Linked DNA regions of Saccharomyces cerevisiae S288C. The gene in region 1 interacts genetically with each later gene. Each region holds a gene or a part of one and is shown on either strand. Other genes may lie near its edges.

What was found. A genetic interaction does not mean that the proteins touch.
Region 2: mutations in ISW2 (region 1) and STB5 together harm fitness more than expected from each alone (negative genetic interaction), as found in Saccharomyces cerevisiae (3 studies listed by BioGRID).
Region 3: mutations in ISW2 (region 1) and IES1 together harm fitness more than expected from each alone (negative genetic interaction), as found in Saccharomyces cerevisiae (3 studies listed by BioGRID).

Annotation. Positions count from the first base shown.
Region 1 is NC_001147.6:882,134-888,738, reverse strand, and holds ISW2 (DNA translocase), read right to left. Parts: upstream 4,226-6,605; coding exon 863-4,225; downstream 1-862. Other genes in the region: BIL1 (Bil1p), read left to right, coding at 1-219; carbamoyl-phosphate synthase (glutamine-hydrolyzing) CPA1, read right to left, coding at 4,605-5,840; YOR302W (uncharacterized protein), read right to left, coding at 5,897-5,974; RAX1 (Rax1p), read right to left, coding at 6,467-6,605. UniProt on the Saccharomyces cerevisiae protein: Catalytic component of the ISW2 complex, which acts in remodeling the chromatin by catalyzing an ATP-dependent alteration in the structure of nucleosomal DNA.
Region 2 is NC_001140.6:456,724-462,307, forward strand, and holds STB5 (Stb5p), read left to right. Parts: upstream 1-2,575; coding exon 2,576-4,807; downstream 4,808-5,584. Other genes in the region: ROF1 (Rof1p), read left to right, coding at 1-1,229. UniProt on the Saccharomyces cerevisiae protein: Binds to SIN3.
Region 3 is NC_001138.5:107,075-112,384, forward strand, and holds IES1 (Ies1p), read right to left. Parts: upstream 2,857-5,310; coding exon 778-2,856; downstream 1-777. Other genes in the region: lipid-binding protein HSP12, read left to right, coding at 182-511; YFL012W (uncharacterized protein), read left to right, coding at 3,573-4,019; hexose transporter HXT10, read left to right, coding at 5,271-5,310. UniProt on the Saccharomyces cerevisiae protein: Probably involved in transcription regulation via its interaction with the INO80 complex, a chromatin-remodeling complex.

The DNA.
Region 1 (6,605 bases):
AAACTGGAAGCTTCGGAGGAACCACAGGCTCCCTTGGCCAATACATCTGAGACTAACTCAATAAAGGGAGATACAGAAAATATTGTAACCGTGTTTGACCTGGCAAATGAAATAGAAAAATCACTAAAGGATGTTCAGAGGCAAATGAAGGAAAATGATGATGAGTTTTCACGCAGTATACAAGCAATTGAAGACAAGCTTAACAAAATGAGTCGGTGAGAGCAGGTGAGTAGTAACATGGAAACTTCTAATGCTTTTATTCATAAAAAAGAAAACGCGTGCTATCGCGTAACTAGGTTGCAATTAACTACAGATCGTGCCAAATACGTGCTTTTTTATATGGTTTAGAAATATTAATCAACTGAAACTTAATAATATATTCGCATGTTTTTGGAGTCTCTGGGATAGCACTTCACCTATCCTTGGAAACTTGAAATGGAGAAGTTTTAACTAAATGACTTTTTTGGCAATTGCTCTCTTATAATTCAGTACACTGTTGTTAATGTAAGTTTGTAGATAAATACAATATGACAAGTATCAAAGCAGGCTTTAGTTTTCAGCAGTTCAATTATCTTAGAATGGATATGAATTAGTTAAAGCGGCTCGACCCAGTTAGACTTAATTTGTCCTCTTCATTCACCATTTTTGCAGCGATATCACATTTCATTGAAGGGAAAAAGGTGACTGAAATATGATTACCTGTCATTTATCATTATCAAACTTGAAGATAGTGGTCAAGAAGTGGCTACGGTTCATTATATAATGCGGTCTATAAGGCTCGTTAGTTTAATTGTATTCAATGAAAAAGTAATATAAAAAATTATATCTCTCACGTCACTTATTTTAATGCACAATACATGATTCATGCTTCTTGATCAATTTTGGTTCTTTTATCAACATGATCGTTTGTATCTTTTTGATTTGTCACCATCGTCGTCGGGAGATTTGGAACCGTTGAAGCTCTAGTGCTTTCATTTTGGGATAAAGGAGTATCCTCTCTAGTCGCTGAAGTTCTACTCCTTTTCTTCTTATTTGCGTCAGGTTGCTCATACTCTCTTACAATTAAAGTTAATAGCGTATGGACTCTTTTTGATAGCTCATGCACCGTTCTTGTCTTTATAAACCAATCAAAAGTGAACAAATCACTCATCATGATTTCTTGCTTTAATTTTTCATAGAGCTTGTCAGCACGAAGTCCGTACTTGTTAACAGCTAATAATAAAAATTTATCTTCTAAGGTATTGTAAGTTCTTCTAGCATTATTAGGTGGATACTGTATTATCAGCTCATGTAATGGATGTTTACACTGTTCGATTTTCTGCCTCAATAGAGTTTCCTGGAATTTCAGTTTTTCATTTTTTTTTTCACCAAGTTCTACATTATGTAAATACTTCTCCCACCCATTGATTTCCTTTAGTCTTTCCCAGAATATTTTTGCATACACTTCAACCTCTTCTGGTGTTTTGGAATCAATAGATTTCTTAATGTTTTCCATATCATCTCTACCGTATTTGGCGCAGGCGTTGATAAACGCCATAAAGTCCCTCTTATTCCAGTTAGTAAAGGCTTTTGATATCAATTCTTGCTTTCGTAATTCATCTTCTTGGGTAAAATCCGGTGCTGAATTAATCTTCTCTTGCTCCTCCTCAATCCTTCTTTTAAGTTCCTCATGGCCTTTATGACCTTCTGTATTAGCGGCATTTTTGTATTCTCCTTCTTCTTCTTCAGCATCGCTTCCTTCATTACGTATATCTCCCGTAATATCATAAGAAGTAACCTTATAGTTGACCTTTTTCTTGAAGTAAAGCTGTTCCTTTTCTTGTAAGGCATCCAACTCCTTGGGGAAGAACTGGAAATCTTGACCGTGTATAACCTTTGGAGCGCGGGGTGCTTTTGGCTGCGGAGTTTGCTTGCTTGCTGATTTAGAGCCACCACCAATAATTTCCTTATAATAATCGTCAACTGAATAAGTGGTTTGCTCTCTTCTTCTTTCTCTTCGGGAAGGATTAATCCATTCAACTACTTTGTCGTTGGATTTTTTTTGAAAGCTTTTACCATTCCATTCGTAAGCAGATTGGTTCTCGATCCCATTGAACTTTTGTAAGTCGTCAAGTCCTAAACTTTGGTATTTGGCATTTAGTTCTTGTGTCTTCTGTTCCCCCTTTTTCAAAATATCATCGATATCAGCATCAACAGTGACTTTACTTGCTTTCTTTTCAAACATATTTTTAGCGCCAAATTGAATCATATCCAACAGATCATCCTTTGAGTTACCAAGAGATGCAGTTTTCTTGCCCGTGCCCTGTTGGATAACCAACTGGTCTAGTCTCAGCTTTTGTGCGGCACGCTCAATGACTTTCTCTTCAATAGCATTTTCTGTGACAAATCTATAAACATGAACTTGTTTCTTTTGACCAATTCTATGCGCTCTATCCATTGCTTGTAGATCAGCTTGAGGGTTCCAATCAGAATCAAAAAGAATAACAGTGTCGGCTGTGACAAGGTTAATACCTAAACCACCGGCACGTGTTGTTAGCAAAAAAACGAACTTTTCAGAATTAGGTTTATTATACTCATCGATAGCTTCTATACGTTCTTCATGGCTAGTAGAACCGTCGATTCTGCAATATTCAAAATCTCTAAAATAGCAATAATCTTCTAAGATATCCAATAGTCTCGACATTTGACTGAAAATCAATACTCTAGATCCCTTTTCCTTCAGTCTTTTCAGTAACTTATCTAATATAATCATTTTCCCGGAATTGAAAATCAAATGTTCATCGGTAGTGTATGGAGGTCCAGGTTCTGCGCCTTCAAAAAGATATGGATGATTACAGCATTTCCTTAATTGCATAACAATATTCAGTAACCTCGTTTTGCCTTCTCTTTTTCCAACAGCACCGTTAACAGCGTCTATATCCTTCTCTAATAATGATTTATACCATTGTATTTGCATGTCTGTCATCCCCACGTAAACATTCGTTTCGATTTTAGGTAGCAAAGATTTTTCGACATCCGCTTTGACTCTTCTCAGTAAAAAGGGGTTTAGTACTGAGTGTAGCTGTTGGATTACAATTTCTTGATCTTGTTCCGAATTGTTTTGTTCGAACCATTCATCAAAAAGTTCAGAATCTCCAAATATATCAGGTAATAAGAAATTTAGCAGGGCCCATAATTCGTGTAGATTGTTTTGTAGAGGCGTGCCCGTAATCAATAATCTATTCTTAGAGTAAAATAATCTAATTATTTGAGATAACGCGCTTTGTTCATTTTTGATCCTGTGAGCCTCATCAATAACAATATATTGCCAAGCTAATCTTTTCAAAGCATTCTTTTCTCTAATGACCATTTCATAAGATGTAATCAATACATCAAATCTAGCTTCTAATATTATATTCCGTACTATATCAGCTCTTGTGTCTTTATCACCATGTAACACAAGGACATTGACGTTTGGAGTCCATTTAAGAAACTCTCGTCTCCAATTATCTAGTGTTGACTTCGGTACTATTATTAGAAAGGGTCCCTCGATTTGTTTGACGTATCTCAAATAACCTAGGAATGAAATTGTTTGTAAGGTTTTACCCAGCCCCATTTCATCGGCCAAGATACCAGATAGTTTGTTTTCGTGCAACGATATTAACCAGTTTAAGCCTTGAACTTGATAGTCTCTTAATTTTCCTGACTTGACGAAGGAGGGAGATTCTGAGACGAATATGTCTTCCTGATATGTATCTACAATCTCTTCTTCCTCATCAGCCATTAATTCAGCATCTTCCTCCTTTTCTGTTTTTCTATGGTGACGTGATGACGAACTGACGGTGCTGTGTGATTTGGAAAGTTTGTTTGCATCAGAATCTAACTGTTTTAAGAGTTTTTGAATATTTTTATCATGTTTTGCCTTAATTCCAATAAAATGACGGAAAAGGTCTGTGACGCCTAATAAATATTTGAATCTTTTGTACGTATCGGACTTGTCCTTTTGCTTGGCGTATTTTGGATCTACATCAAGTACGAATTTTTTCTTTCTTTGAGCCCAATATTCTGGTGGTCTATCTTCTACTGTATATATTTCTTTATCTGATAGCTCTTCACTTTGTCCGATATTATCATCATCACTACTGCCATTTGACTTTGAGTCGAGAGTATCGACTAAAACTTCTGAAGGTGACTCGCTTTTGCTATTCTTGGTATCACTTCGTTGCTCCTCTTGCTGGGTCGTCATGATCTGATTGTAAGTTTTCCTTTTGTTACGACTTAAACCAACAAGACGGGTATTATTGGAAAGTAAATAAAACAAACCACAAAGAAAGAAAACCGTTTGCACAAACTCCTTGAGTTATGCAAATATACTTATCAAAATTTAACTGAAGCTGAAAATTTTTGAGTCTGCTTTATTTGATTTTTTTTTTAGGATGGCAGGATGAAATTAGAGCCATTGTACGTACGTTACGTTTTTTTGTTCATTTAATTACAAGAAGCGCCCGTTAATTATGACAACTGCGAGTAGATACTAAGCAACGACGAGTAGCGCAAAATACCATGAACTGAATTGAATCGTATTTAGATGTACGTATGTGTTACGTAATGTATAAATTTTGTTTTTAGAACAACACTCTTTCCTTGGCCAACTTAGTAACATTTATACTCTGCAATCTCGATTTATCGGTACTGTATGTTACTTTTAGTGAGATTGAACTTTTTGCCTGAGATTGTAATTGGTATTTTTCTATATTATCGAAGAATTTGTCAAAAAGAATAGCTGTGTCTAAGGGACCACCTTTTGCCTCTGGGTGAAATTGGGTAGAAAATATGGGTCTTTGAAGGTGTATCATGCCTTCGTTTGATTTGTCGTTTAAATTAACAAAATAAGGTTTCCATTGGTCCTTTGGTAGGGTCTCAGGATCAACTGCATAGCCATGATTTTGAGATGTAATGTGGCACTGGCCGGTAGTCAAATCCATGGCAGGGATGTTGTGAGCCCTATTACCATATTTCAATTTGTGAGTAGAGGCACCGGAGGCCAGAGCCAAGAGTTGATGGCCTAGACAAATCCCAAAAATAGGGATACAGTCATAAACAGGGTTATTTAGTAATTCCCTGACGTTGGAAATTGTAGCTTGGCATAGTTCTGGGTTGCCTGGTCCATTGGATAAGAAAATACCGTCGAATTCAGAAGCAACATCTTGAATTCTGTAATCATAGGGGAAAACAGTTACATTGGCACCTCTTTTGACTAGGCATCTGATAATGTTTTCTTTAACACCACAGTCAATAAGAGCCACATTTGCCTTAGCCTTCCCAGGTAAGGCAGAGACGTGGAAAGGCTTTTTTGTGGTGACTTGAGCAACCAAGTTAGTTTTCATGGGATTCACGTAGGGGACAGGGTCATGATCAGCCAACGTAATACGGCCCAAAGAAGAACCTTGTTCCCTCAAGTATTGCACTAGTTCACGGGTGTCTACGCCAGTAATAGCAGCAACACCTTCTCTCTGACACCATTGTGCCAGAGATTCAACAGCGGTCCAATGCGAATATTGATAAGCATATTCAGCGACAACGATGCCGACCACATGTATATGCGGAGATTCAAAATACTTCAGTAAATTGTATTCATCGCGGGCTTCGCCGGATGGGACACCGTAGTTACCAATCAAGGGTTGCGTGAAGACTAATATCTGACCACGGTAGGAAGGATCAGTCATGGACTCTGGGTAACCAACCAGAGAAGTAGTGAAAACTGTTTCACCAGCAACAGATTTGTTTGCACCAAAAGATATACCTTCAAAGGAAGGACCATTTTGGATACAGAAAGTAGCTTTTGTTGCAGCGGAGGACATTTGAAATATTTTTAGGAGTGGTTTGTGATAGAATTTCTGATTATTAAGCAATGAAATTAGTGGGAGCTAGTTTTCCAGATGTGGTCAGATATGTAGTCTTGGCAGGTGTATTGAGAGTTCGATAAGCTAAACATATAATGTTTTTTTTATTTCAAATCTGCAAAAAGGGTATGTAGAAGAGTCGATTACCTTGTATTCTTTGCAGTATTTAAACAATTAGATGTTCGAGTGTATCTATGTGTTATAGTTCTGAAGAAAAAAAAAAAAAAAAAAAAGAAAAAGAAACGACGAGTCAAGAAAAGAAAAGAAAAAGGAGGGGCATGAAAAAAGAAATTGACCGAATAATCTAATGAACGTTGGATAGTTAAGTGTCTTACGAGAGAGCCTTATATATCATGTCATCGCCTTTTTTTTCCGCGAGAGGTGATAAGTGAAATCGCAACTATTTACTCATCATGAGGTAATGCGATGCGATGATGAGTCAAACACCCTTCCACGGGAAGCGCCAGCCGGCGCCCTCGGTAAAGCCTGCACTTAACGGCCCCTCGCTGTTTCTTGTACTTAGCGTCACGCGCTATGGAAATATGCGGTGCACAGGTGTTTTTATAGGGGGGTGATGGATTACATCATACACGACGGCCGGGAACACAGCTGAAAATAACTGTGAATGCGGCAGTGGCACCCACTACGAGAAGCAGACACCACAGTCCACGCTTACGTAGAAGCTGCCGAGTAAATGGGTGCTCTATGCGGGTAAGACGGCGC
Region 2 (5,584 bases), on another chromosome or scaffold:
TAGTCAACCCCGGAAACATTTTTGTTTTCAACGAAGAGAAATCCGGCATCAAAAGATGGACAGATGGTTTTTCTTGGTCTCCTTCAAGAATTTCAGGCAAATTTCTCGTATATAGAGAGTATAATAGGCTGGGTTCCACGCACGATCTACCGCTGCATAATGTACCTGAGTATAATATCTTCGAGAGGGCTCATAGGAAGTATTTTTATACTGGACTACTGAAAAAAACATTTTCTCTAAAATTCAATATGGATCCCACCGACAGCACTAAGCTGGAAACATTTCATCTTATTGCGTACTATACGGAAAAGGATATTCATCAAGGAAGTTTGAGGAGACCTTCAGAAAATCCTTTCTTCCATAAATTTCGACCTTCACAGAAACTATTAGATGCTTTACAAAAAGTTGCTGTAGGAAATGGCAGATCTAACCCGTCTAAAAATAATGAGAGAGGCAGAACCAAAGCTCATAATTATAAAACGCGCAGGTCTTTATCATCTTCTCCGAGCTATTGTGATCTCTTGAGCAATTATAACAACCATCCTGGAAATATTCCAGTTAGGACCGCAGTTCAGTTACCTTTAACCACCTTCAATAACGCTCCTCGAGAAATGCACCAACAGCAGCACCGACAACAGCAACAATATCTCTTACCCATAGATGAACAGAATAAATTACCTCTCCCGTATATGCAGCACCAGCCACAACCAATTGGTGTTTACAATCCTAACTATCAGCCTGGATTGAGACGTACGGTCTCACAACCTATGATTTTCTGCAATACATACAATACTCTCCCGCAACAACCTACTGCAGCACCTTATGAACGGCGTGGCGTGTCGCCTTCAGTGATATACTCCTCCAATACATTGAGCCCAATACCATACCAAAATATCGATCCATACTCTTCGAGGTCGGGTCCTGAATGCAATCACTCTAAGGCGCCTATCGCCCCAACAATGATGCCCCCAGTACACCATATACTTGTGCATGATTACCGACAACCAAAACCAGTCACAGATTCTATTAATCCTCCAAATGTAAACATAACCACCTCCACAACCAACAAGAACCTAGATGGCATTTATATTTTGCCAGCTCCTCGTATGAATCCCCCGGCTCAAACACAATACCAAATGATTCATGCGCCAGACAGCATGCAACATCCACCAACATTTAGTAAAAACAACACATCAAGCAATCCTAAATCCCACCAATACTCAAAGTAGAAGATCAGCATCCTTTCAATTGCTGAAAGGTTCACCTAAAGTACCGCTCATATTCCAAAAGGATTCTTCACTACATAGAAAGGGCAGCCAATTGTGTGTTTTTCAGAAAGGGTTTTAAAAAAACAGGAGGGTGCTTGTTCTTGTTGTTCCCTACCATCGATGGATTTCGAAAAACTATTTATAGGACCATCTGATTTTCACCTCCATCATTGTATCATATACTAACAAGCATATCCAAATTTGTAATTCTATCATGAAATTTCCAGAGAAAGAAACGCAAGGGAACTGAGAAATCAAACCTAAAAACGGTTCTTGGCATTGTTATGAAAAATGAATAAACCAGGGGGGCAAAACAATCGAGAACCCCAATCAAAACCATGTGAGATACCCACTTCGAAAGTTACTGATATTATAACTCTTGTGTCCTCTCTTCTAATACCTTACTTTCACCTTTCTCACGTAGTTAAAGTTGCAACAACACATTTTGTCCTCATCCAATTTCTTCTATAGAATATCCGTTTGCCTCCAGGAGTGAAGAAATGATAGCAGTAACACTGTGAAAGCGAGACTAAGAGAAACGACTTAAAGCTCGAAGACTTCTTGAGGATACGTTTATGTTTCTGTGGCTTCTTCTTCGCGGCGCGGTTCTCGCGTATAGGAATGTTCTAAGACAAGAAGGCATGAAGTTATGTTAACAGATTCTATATCTACTCGCTACGCATATATAAACGGATTCATCATTGAAACAATGGTACTTGTGGTAATGTGTACGACGATTTCAACCCGAATAAAAGCAAAAGTGCAAAAAAAAAACAAGAAGCGCTTAGCACTGTTGAATCATTTAGAACACTACTAATGCTGGTAATACACTCAAGAATGAAGAGTGGCTTACTCCATTGTTGATGCAAAAGTTGTAAATTTCACGAATTATTTAATGCGTTCCTTGCAACCTTCTATTTTGATGAACATCAGGAATTGAAACAAAAAAAAGGCTTCAATCTCAACGGAAAACGGGAAGAAAACTACACTCGATTATACTATATATGCCAAGAAGATTCTCCGACAGATTGTCTACTTAATTTCACATAATATATCTTGTTTTACTAGCTTATTATATAGCGTCGCATTTAATTCATGGCGCCATCACCCGCAGGGAATATAACGACAAGGCCGATACCACGGGAAAAATAGGGCGAGCGGAAATACTAAAAGAAAAATAAGCTTCCGAAATAAAACACCGACAATGAAGTTCTTGGCAAGGTTCGGTTATTTCCTCTACGTAACAAGAGGTATAATATCCGAGCGTACAGGGCTAAAAAATTAATACAAAGGTGTAAAAGAAGGACATGGATGGTCCCAATTTTGCACATCAAGGCGGGAGATCACAACGTACTACTGAATTGTATTCGTGCGCACGATGCAGAAAATTAAAGAAGAAGTGTGGTAAACAAATACCGACATGTGCAAACTGCGATAAAAATGGGGCACACTGTTCATATCCAGGTAGAGCCCCAAGACGTACCAAGAAGGAGTTAGCGGATGCTATGCTACGAGGGGAATATGTTCCAGTGAAAAGGAACAAGAAGGTAGGAAAAAGCCCATTGAGCACTAAGAGCATGCCAAACTCTTCTAGTCCGCTATCCGCAAATGGCGCTATAACTCCCGGGTTTTCGCCTTACGAAAACGATGATGCACATAAGATGAAACAGCTAAAACCGTCAGATCCAATAAATCTTGTCATGGGGGCAAGTCCAAATTCTAGCGAAGGTGTCTCATCGCTAATTTCGGTGCTAACATCGCTGAATGATAATTCTAATCCTTCTTCGCACTTATCCTCTAATGAAAATTCCATGATTCCTTCCCGATCATTGCCAGCTTCCGTGCAGCAAAGTTCGACAACTTCATCATTCGGAGGATATAACACGCCTTCACCACTAATTAGCAGTCATGTGCCTGCGAACGCCCAAGCCGTACCGCTACAAAACAACAATCGCAATACTAGCAACGGGGATAACGGCAGTAATGTTAACCACGATAATAACAATGGCAGTACCAACACACCGCAATTGAGTCTTACCCCATATGCAAACAATTCAGCCCCCAATGGGAAATTCGATTCTGTGCCGGTTGATGCATCCTCGATCGAATTTGAAACTATGTCCTGTTGCTTTAAAGGTGGTAGAACAACATCGTGGGTCAGAGAGGATGGCTCGTTCAAGTCAATTGATAGATCCTTACTGGACAGGTTCATTGCCGCATACTTCAAACACAATCACCGTCTATTTCCCATGATTGATAAAATAGCATTCCTAAATGACGCCGCGACAATTACTGATTTCGAAAGGTTATATGACAACAAAAACTACCCTGACAGCTTTGTTTTCAAAGTATACATGATCATGGCTATTGGTTGTACAACTTTACAGCGTGCTGGTATGGTTTCTCAGGACGAAGAGTGTCTGAGTGAACATTTGGCTTTTTTGGCCATGAAAAAATTTCGTAGTGTTATAATTTTACAAGATATCGAAACTGTACGATGCCTATTGTTGTTGGGTATTTATTCGTTTTTTGAGCCAAAGGGCTCCTCGTCATGGACAATTAGTGGTATCATCATGCGATTGACCATAGGATTAGGTTTAAATAGAGAGTTAACTGCCAAAAAACTCAAGAGCATGTCTGCTTTAGAAGCAGAGGCAAGATATAGAGTGTTTTGGAGTGCTTACTGCTTTGAAAGGCTAGTATGCACCTCGTTGGGCCGTATATCCGGGATCGACGACGAAGACATCACTGTGCCACTACCGAGGGCGTTGTATGTGGATGAAAGAGACGATTTAGAGATGACCAAGTTGATGATATCATTAAGGAAAATGGGCGGTCGCATTTATAAACAAGTCCACTCTGTAAGTGCAGGGCGACAAAAGTTAACCATCGAACAAAAGCAGGAAATCATAAGTGGATTACGCAAGGAGCTAGACGAAATTTATTCTCGAGAATCAGAAAGAAGGAAACTGAAAAAATCTCAAATGGATCAGGTGGAGAGGGAGAACAATTCTACTACAAATGTAATATCCTTCCATAGTTCTGAGATTTGGCTAGCAATGAGATACTCCCAGTTGCAAATCTTACTATACAGACCATCTGCATTGATGCCAAAACCGCCCATTGACTCACTATCCACTCTAGGAGAGTTTTGCTTGCAAGCCTGGAAACATACTTATACACTGTACAAGAAGCGGTTATTACCCTTGAACTGGATAACCCTTTTCAGAACATTAACCATTTGTAACACTATCTTATACTGTCTTTGCCAGTGGAGCATCGACCTCATTGAAAGTAAAATCGAAATTCAACAGTGTGTGGAAATACTAAGACATTTCGGTGAAAGATGGATTTTTGCTATGAGATGCGCGGATGTTTTCCAAAACATTAGCAACACAATTCTCGATATTAGTTTAAGCCATGGTAAAGTTCCTAATATGGACCAATTAACAAGAGAGTTATTTGGCGCCAGCGATTCATATCAAGACATATTAGACGAAAACAATGTTGACGTCTCTTGGGTTGATAAACTTGTATGACATATGTTCACCGAGTTTTGTCATGTCGTCATACTATACGGCAGCGGCTTGTTGCTGCCGTTTAATGAAACAGTTTTTTTCACGACAAGATTCTTCTATTGATTATTCACATATGTATTTTAATGAAAAATGAGTACTTTATAACACAACCCTAATGACAAATGAAAAAGTTGATTGCCATGAACTCTTAAAGCGATTTATGAGAACAATTAATTGATTATATATATATATCTTTGCAATTATGTCGTTTGTTGCAAGATGCTTCTGAAAGTAAGTAACTCTATAAGATAGATAATGCTACAAGACGCCAAACGCAAGTGAGTAAGAAATAAGAGCTGGCAGGTCTTCGCCGGAACACTATCATCAAAATCACTACAATTTAGCGGCTTAGCACAATACGCGTTTTCAACTTCCTACGCTAGCGATGACAAAATGTCTCCAAGAGGCGGAACTTGCGACGGATGCATGGAAATATCTTACGTAATGAACTTCCGTAATGAACTTCCGTAATTCAAGATCTCTTAGCATCTCTTGTTCAATCTTCAGACTCTACTAAGTGTTCTTACCAACCATTGGATGCTCATTACAAATGAATGAATATATTGCACGGAACGGAAGCGGCATGCTTTTTCCGTCTCGTGTGCTTAGTAAAGCAAAACGGAGTAGAATCGGTAAGAACTTCCTTTTTGGGTTGGAAAATCATTGCCATTGTTTGGACACCTTTCTTTTTCCGTATTGTTCGAGCACCGCGTTTCTTTTTGGGTACTTGATGAGGTA
Region 3 (5,310 bases), on another chromosome or scaffold:
ATCTGAAAGGTCTTTCTCTAAATCTATATTAAAACGTATAAATAGGACGGTGAATTGCGTTCTACTTCCTCAATTGCGTTTGATCTTATTTAATCTCTCTCTAATATATAGAAAAAAAAACCATCTGATTATTCGATAATCTCAAACAAACAACTCAAAACAAAAAAAACTAAATACAACAATGTCTGACGCAGGTAGAAAAGGATTCGGTGAAAAAGCTTCTGAAGCTTTGAAGCCAGACTCTCAAAAGTCATACGCTGAACAAGGTAAGGAATACATCACTGACAAGGCCGACAAGGTCGCTGGTAAGGTTCAACCAGAAGACAACAAGGGTGTCTTCCAAGGTGTCCACGACTCTGCCGAAAAAGGCAAGGATAACGCTGAAGGTCAAGGTGAATCTTTGGCAGACCAAGCTAGAGATTACATGGGAGCCGCCAAGTCCAAGTTGAACGATGCCGTCGAATATGTTTCCGGTCGTGTCCACGGTGAAGAAGACCCAACCAAGAAGTAAATCTTTCGGAACTCTTTGTAGTTACATGGTTTTTTCTTTATGATGTGTGATGTTCCTTAATATTATATTCAATGAATAGCAGAGTAATAAAAAAATTCTAAAAAAAAAACGCTTAAATCGAGGTGGAATATATAAACTTAAGTACGCATATACTCTAGTTCAGTTTAAAAATTAGCTGTTTTTTTAAAAAAAAAAATTCTCTTTCTTTACAAAATGTTCTTAAATGTATGTATGTGTGTGTGTGTGTGTGTGCGTATTGTTCTATTTCACTCCAGCTTAAACATGGCGGTTGCTTCTTCGTCATCAATTTCCGCGCGTTCGATTTTATTTAAAAGTACTTTCTTTGAAGCGCCGAGATTTTTCATGAAATCCGTCTCAAATCCAAGCAAATTATCTTTGAATTTCTTTCTCTTTTTACCGCGAATCCCAAGCACTGACGCTACGGGGATGTCTTCAAATTCATTGAATATCTTGATTAACCCAATATCGCGTCTTTTCAACCTGTTTGGCACCTGGGATTTTTTCAAATCGGCGAGAAACTCCTCTTGTGTCTTACCATTTTCTGACACATGCTTGTTCAGATCTAGCGATATTAGCTTGTCGACCTTGTTTACCGTAGCCGAACTATTGTATTTTTTCAATGGTGTTAGATTTAAATCGTTTTTGTCAATGATAGCAGCGGAGGTGATTTCTTCTTCTGTTTCTGTTGGTGCTGCTGGCGTTACTTTGGGCAGTTGTGGTGTGACTTTTTTCCTGTTCAATGTCATGGGTGAAGAAGATTCCAGTATGGGCGTAGGCGTCAAAAGTGATCTAGTCTCCTCTACAGTCTCCTCGCTCTTGTCATCTTCCCCTTCACCGTCCTCTTCACTCTTGTCACCACCGATACTGGGCTTTTTCACCTCTGTAACATTGGTACGCTCGCGCTTCCTACCCTCCTCCATCTTACTCATGAATTCTCTTCTCTTGATGCGTTGGTTGGCTCCGAACTCTAATTCATCTTCAGGATCCGTGTCGTAACTGCGTTCCGTACACCTTAAAATGAACTTTCCAGCAGGTGCACCATCTTCCAATCCATTGAAAAATCTTACTGATTCTTCGACCTCCTCCTGGCTTAAGTTTGTCTCCAAATGAATATATAGCAGCCAAATCAATATGTTTGATCTATCCTTTGGCTCGTATTTCGAATAGTCCAGTATATCAAATAATGTTGTTGCATAAGCTGCTTTTGATTCTTGTTTTTCATTTTCCGCTTCCGTTTCTTTTACTTCATTCTGTTCATCTACCATATCTTGCTCCTGAGCTTTCGATTCGACTTCCACATACTTGGAAAGAAACCTCTTGTCAATTAGGCCGGAATTATCACATATGCTAAACAACATATTAATAATGTTAAATTTGTTAACGGTGTCCACTTCACCATCATTTTGGTCGACCTTTTTGTAAGTCTCCATCAATGAGAGTTGCTCATTGCCCCACGGCAGATTTTTCAGAATAGATTTCAGTCTAGGTGTATCCTGCAAAAGTTTCGGATCATTGGCATGTAATTGTAAAACTGGCACGGAGTGAAAAGTTCTCAATTGCGATGTCATTTCTAAATAAAAATTTATAGTGGTGTTCAACCTACCAATGTTGACCAATAACGCTAAAACACAAGTAGAAAATGCTACTTGTTGGTCTAATAATAGTTTATCTCTGAGAATTTTGGAACATTTGATAGAAGTGGCTATTGTCAACACATACAATTGTGCGAACGTCAATTTATCGTTAAATACAAATGTCCTTGCATCGTACTCTTTGTCGGTCACGTTGATTGATAATTTATCGCCATCGATATTAATGGGTACAATAGAGTTCTTGTATAGGGGTTTTAGAACATTAGTGAAGATTTGCCTCTTGTCCATCAACAGTTCTTGCATGAAACTGAACTGAATGTCCTTTCTATTGAATGGCTCGCCGTCAGGTTTCTTCAAATGACGATTGTATTTACTGGCATTGCTTTCTTTGGGTTTCCTTCTAACAGTGTTAGTTGTCACTGGCCCCGTTGCCGTACTTGCTCCTGTTGCTTCAGGCACTGTAGAAGGTTCGAAGTTGAGCAAGATGTTGGTATTTTCTTCTTCACTTTGCGTGGAGTCATCATCATTTTTATCGTCGATTTCAATCTCGTGTATAACTGGAATGCTTTTTGTAGTCACAGTCTCGGTCTCTGATTGAATGGAGCTTGGGGATGCTTCTTCTTGTGATCCCGATTTTACAGATTGCATTGGAGAATCTGCTTTTGTTTCGTCAGAATTGTCTTCTCGTAGTTGGAAAGTATCATGAATTGGATCGTATACTCTCTTCCCCATCTTTAATTAGAGTGTCGCCTTTATTTAGCTTTCGATTTTACTTAGTTAATCATGAACTGTTTCCAATACCATATCAGCATTCATTGGGCGTTCTTTACTTACTTGTACCGTTACCGCATTCGAGGGTAACCTGTTTTTCGTTGTACACGATATGCTACAGAATTGTCTTAATATGGGCTAAGAAAAAAAAAAGTCTGATTATTTCTGATACTGCAAAATATATACTGGCTTGGTTAAGAAAAGTGTTGCTTTAGTTCCTTTACATCAAGAGTCGTTAAATTGTTTTGTGTCATAACAGTAGTGGTCTTTTGAGACATCAATCGACTCTCAGGTTTTCCTTCTGTTCATCTTCTTGTTTTCGGTAAAGGTCAGCCAGCATATTTCAATTCTCTCTTTTTTGAAATAACATTATGTAATCTTTCAATCCTTTCTATCCAACGTCTGCTAAATAATTTATTCAAATGACATGTAGACCAGAAAATCGAACGTTGGATAATTTTTCATCCTGAATCATGTTGGTCTCAACTAGAGCAATTTTTTCACGTCCTCTGACACAAAACTCGATAAACTGTCGCATCAGTTTAAAAAAATATGTACGTGTATAATAACTGAATTTAAAAGGATAGTAAATAATTTTTGCATTTTATGGAATGTCAAAATACTAATAAGTCGCAAATATAGCTATCAAATACCATAATTTAGCTACTTATAGAAAGATGCCCAAATCCCGACCAAAAAGGACCATTGCGTCTTCCTCGTCAGTTTTTTATGGAAGTTCACCTTTCCAAAATGATGGCTACATCAAAGTAATGGAACTCGTATCACACATTGTCATTGAAATAAATCATTCACCTACCGCAACAACGGATGAAACGAGAAAGCAGAATAATCCGGAGCTGAAAGTGAAAGAACCAGTTTGTAACCTCAAGAAGTGGGAAAATAACACTAACTTTATATTGGAAGATCATACGAAGAATAAAACAAAACTTTCTAGCACAGATAGGATACGTAAGTGGTTTAGAAGACATATATTAAAGGAAGAGATCGAAATCCTTTCCCATGGAAAACAATTGAGTAGTATTGATGAGGATTATTGCCCTTCAAATGTTCTTGTAGGATGTTCAAGAGATCTAAATAAACTCAGATCATTTCAAAATTTTTAGGAATATAAAATTTCTCAGTAAGAAAAAGAAGATGAATGCGTTTATAGTATTTTAAGTTGTTCAATAGAATATCTTCAATATGTTCATATGTGGACTAAAAGAAGATTTTGGTATATGTCTATAAATTTATTGTTGGTAAACGCCATTAAGCAGCTTTCCAAGAATATGTTATCATTGAGGAGAAGTACGAAAACTGATTATGCACGATTAGGAAAAATTCTGCAAGGAGTATTAAAAAATGGCCTTCGAGAAGAAATGAAATCTCTTTCGATGAGCAATGGTCTTATGGATAATTTGATAGACATATGAAAAAGTCAAAAGTTTTTTTGGCCATATGCAGTAAAAACTTACCCTTCAAATTGCAAAACCATTAGTTTTATTATATTTTTTTTTTTTTCTTTCATTGAAGTATACACGAAATCCCATACGCAAATAAACAGTCGTTGTATCATCAATTTCGGCTGTCTGGATGGCGACTACGAGAGGAAGCTTGCTTGCCATGATAGGACCAATCTCAATTTTTAATTTTTCATTAACTAGCTAATTTTCTATAATGCTCTAAGTTTCCTTTTTCGTTTTGTTTCTTTATAGTGATGATGCTGTTATTGTGACGCTATCAAATCATATACTGTCATCAATCCTCATCTCATCGGCTCCGGAACGCGTTGAATATGTTGTTAAACAAGCTCTTTATAGCTAGCTATAGTAGAAAAGGAAGGAAAGAAGTCTAATCGCTGTATTATCGACTGACAAGGGTTGTCAGTTGCCTTCTTTTATTTTTTGTACTCCCCTGAATCGAGCGGATGTATTTTTTAACAAAGTATTCAGAATTGTTTTTGTATAATCAAAATTTGTCGACGCTAAGAAAATGACGGACGTCGTAATTCCGCTACTAGGTTTTGTGTGCTCATCGATATTTGACACCTATTTTCGACACTTTTAAGGTTATATACTTTGTTTCGGATGTGGGGTACACTCAGTTGACTGATTATGAAAGATATGGCGTAGCCGTTGGGTTAGGGTTATTACACAGAAATGAATTATACCAGTGAAATTATTCTCTTTATGTTTGTTCCTACATGTTTTCCAATCAGAAGGAATTGTTATATAAGGACACAAGAAATGTGTTGGTACGCTCTGCGCCTCAATGACGGTTTATCTATCTAAAACTATTTCTTTCTCGTAATAAAAATACAATAAATAATTAATAATAATATAGTTGATCGATATAACAAAAAAATAACAGCGAGGATGGTTAGTTCAAGTGTTTCCATTTTGGGGACTAGCGCCA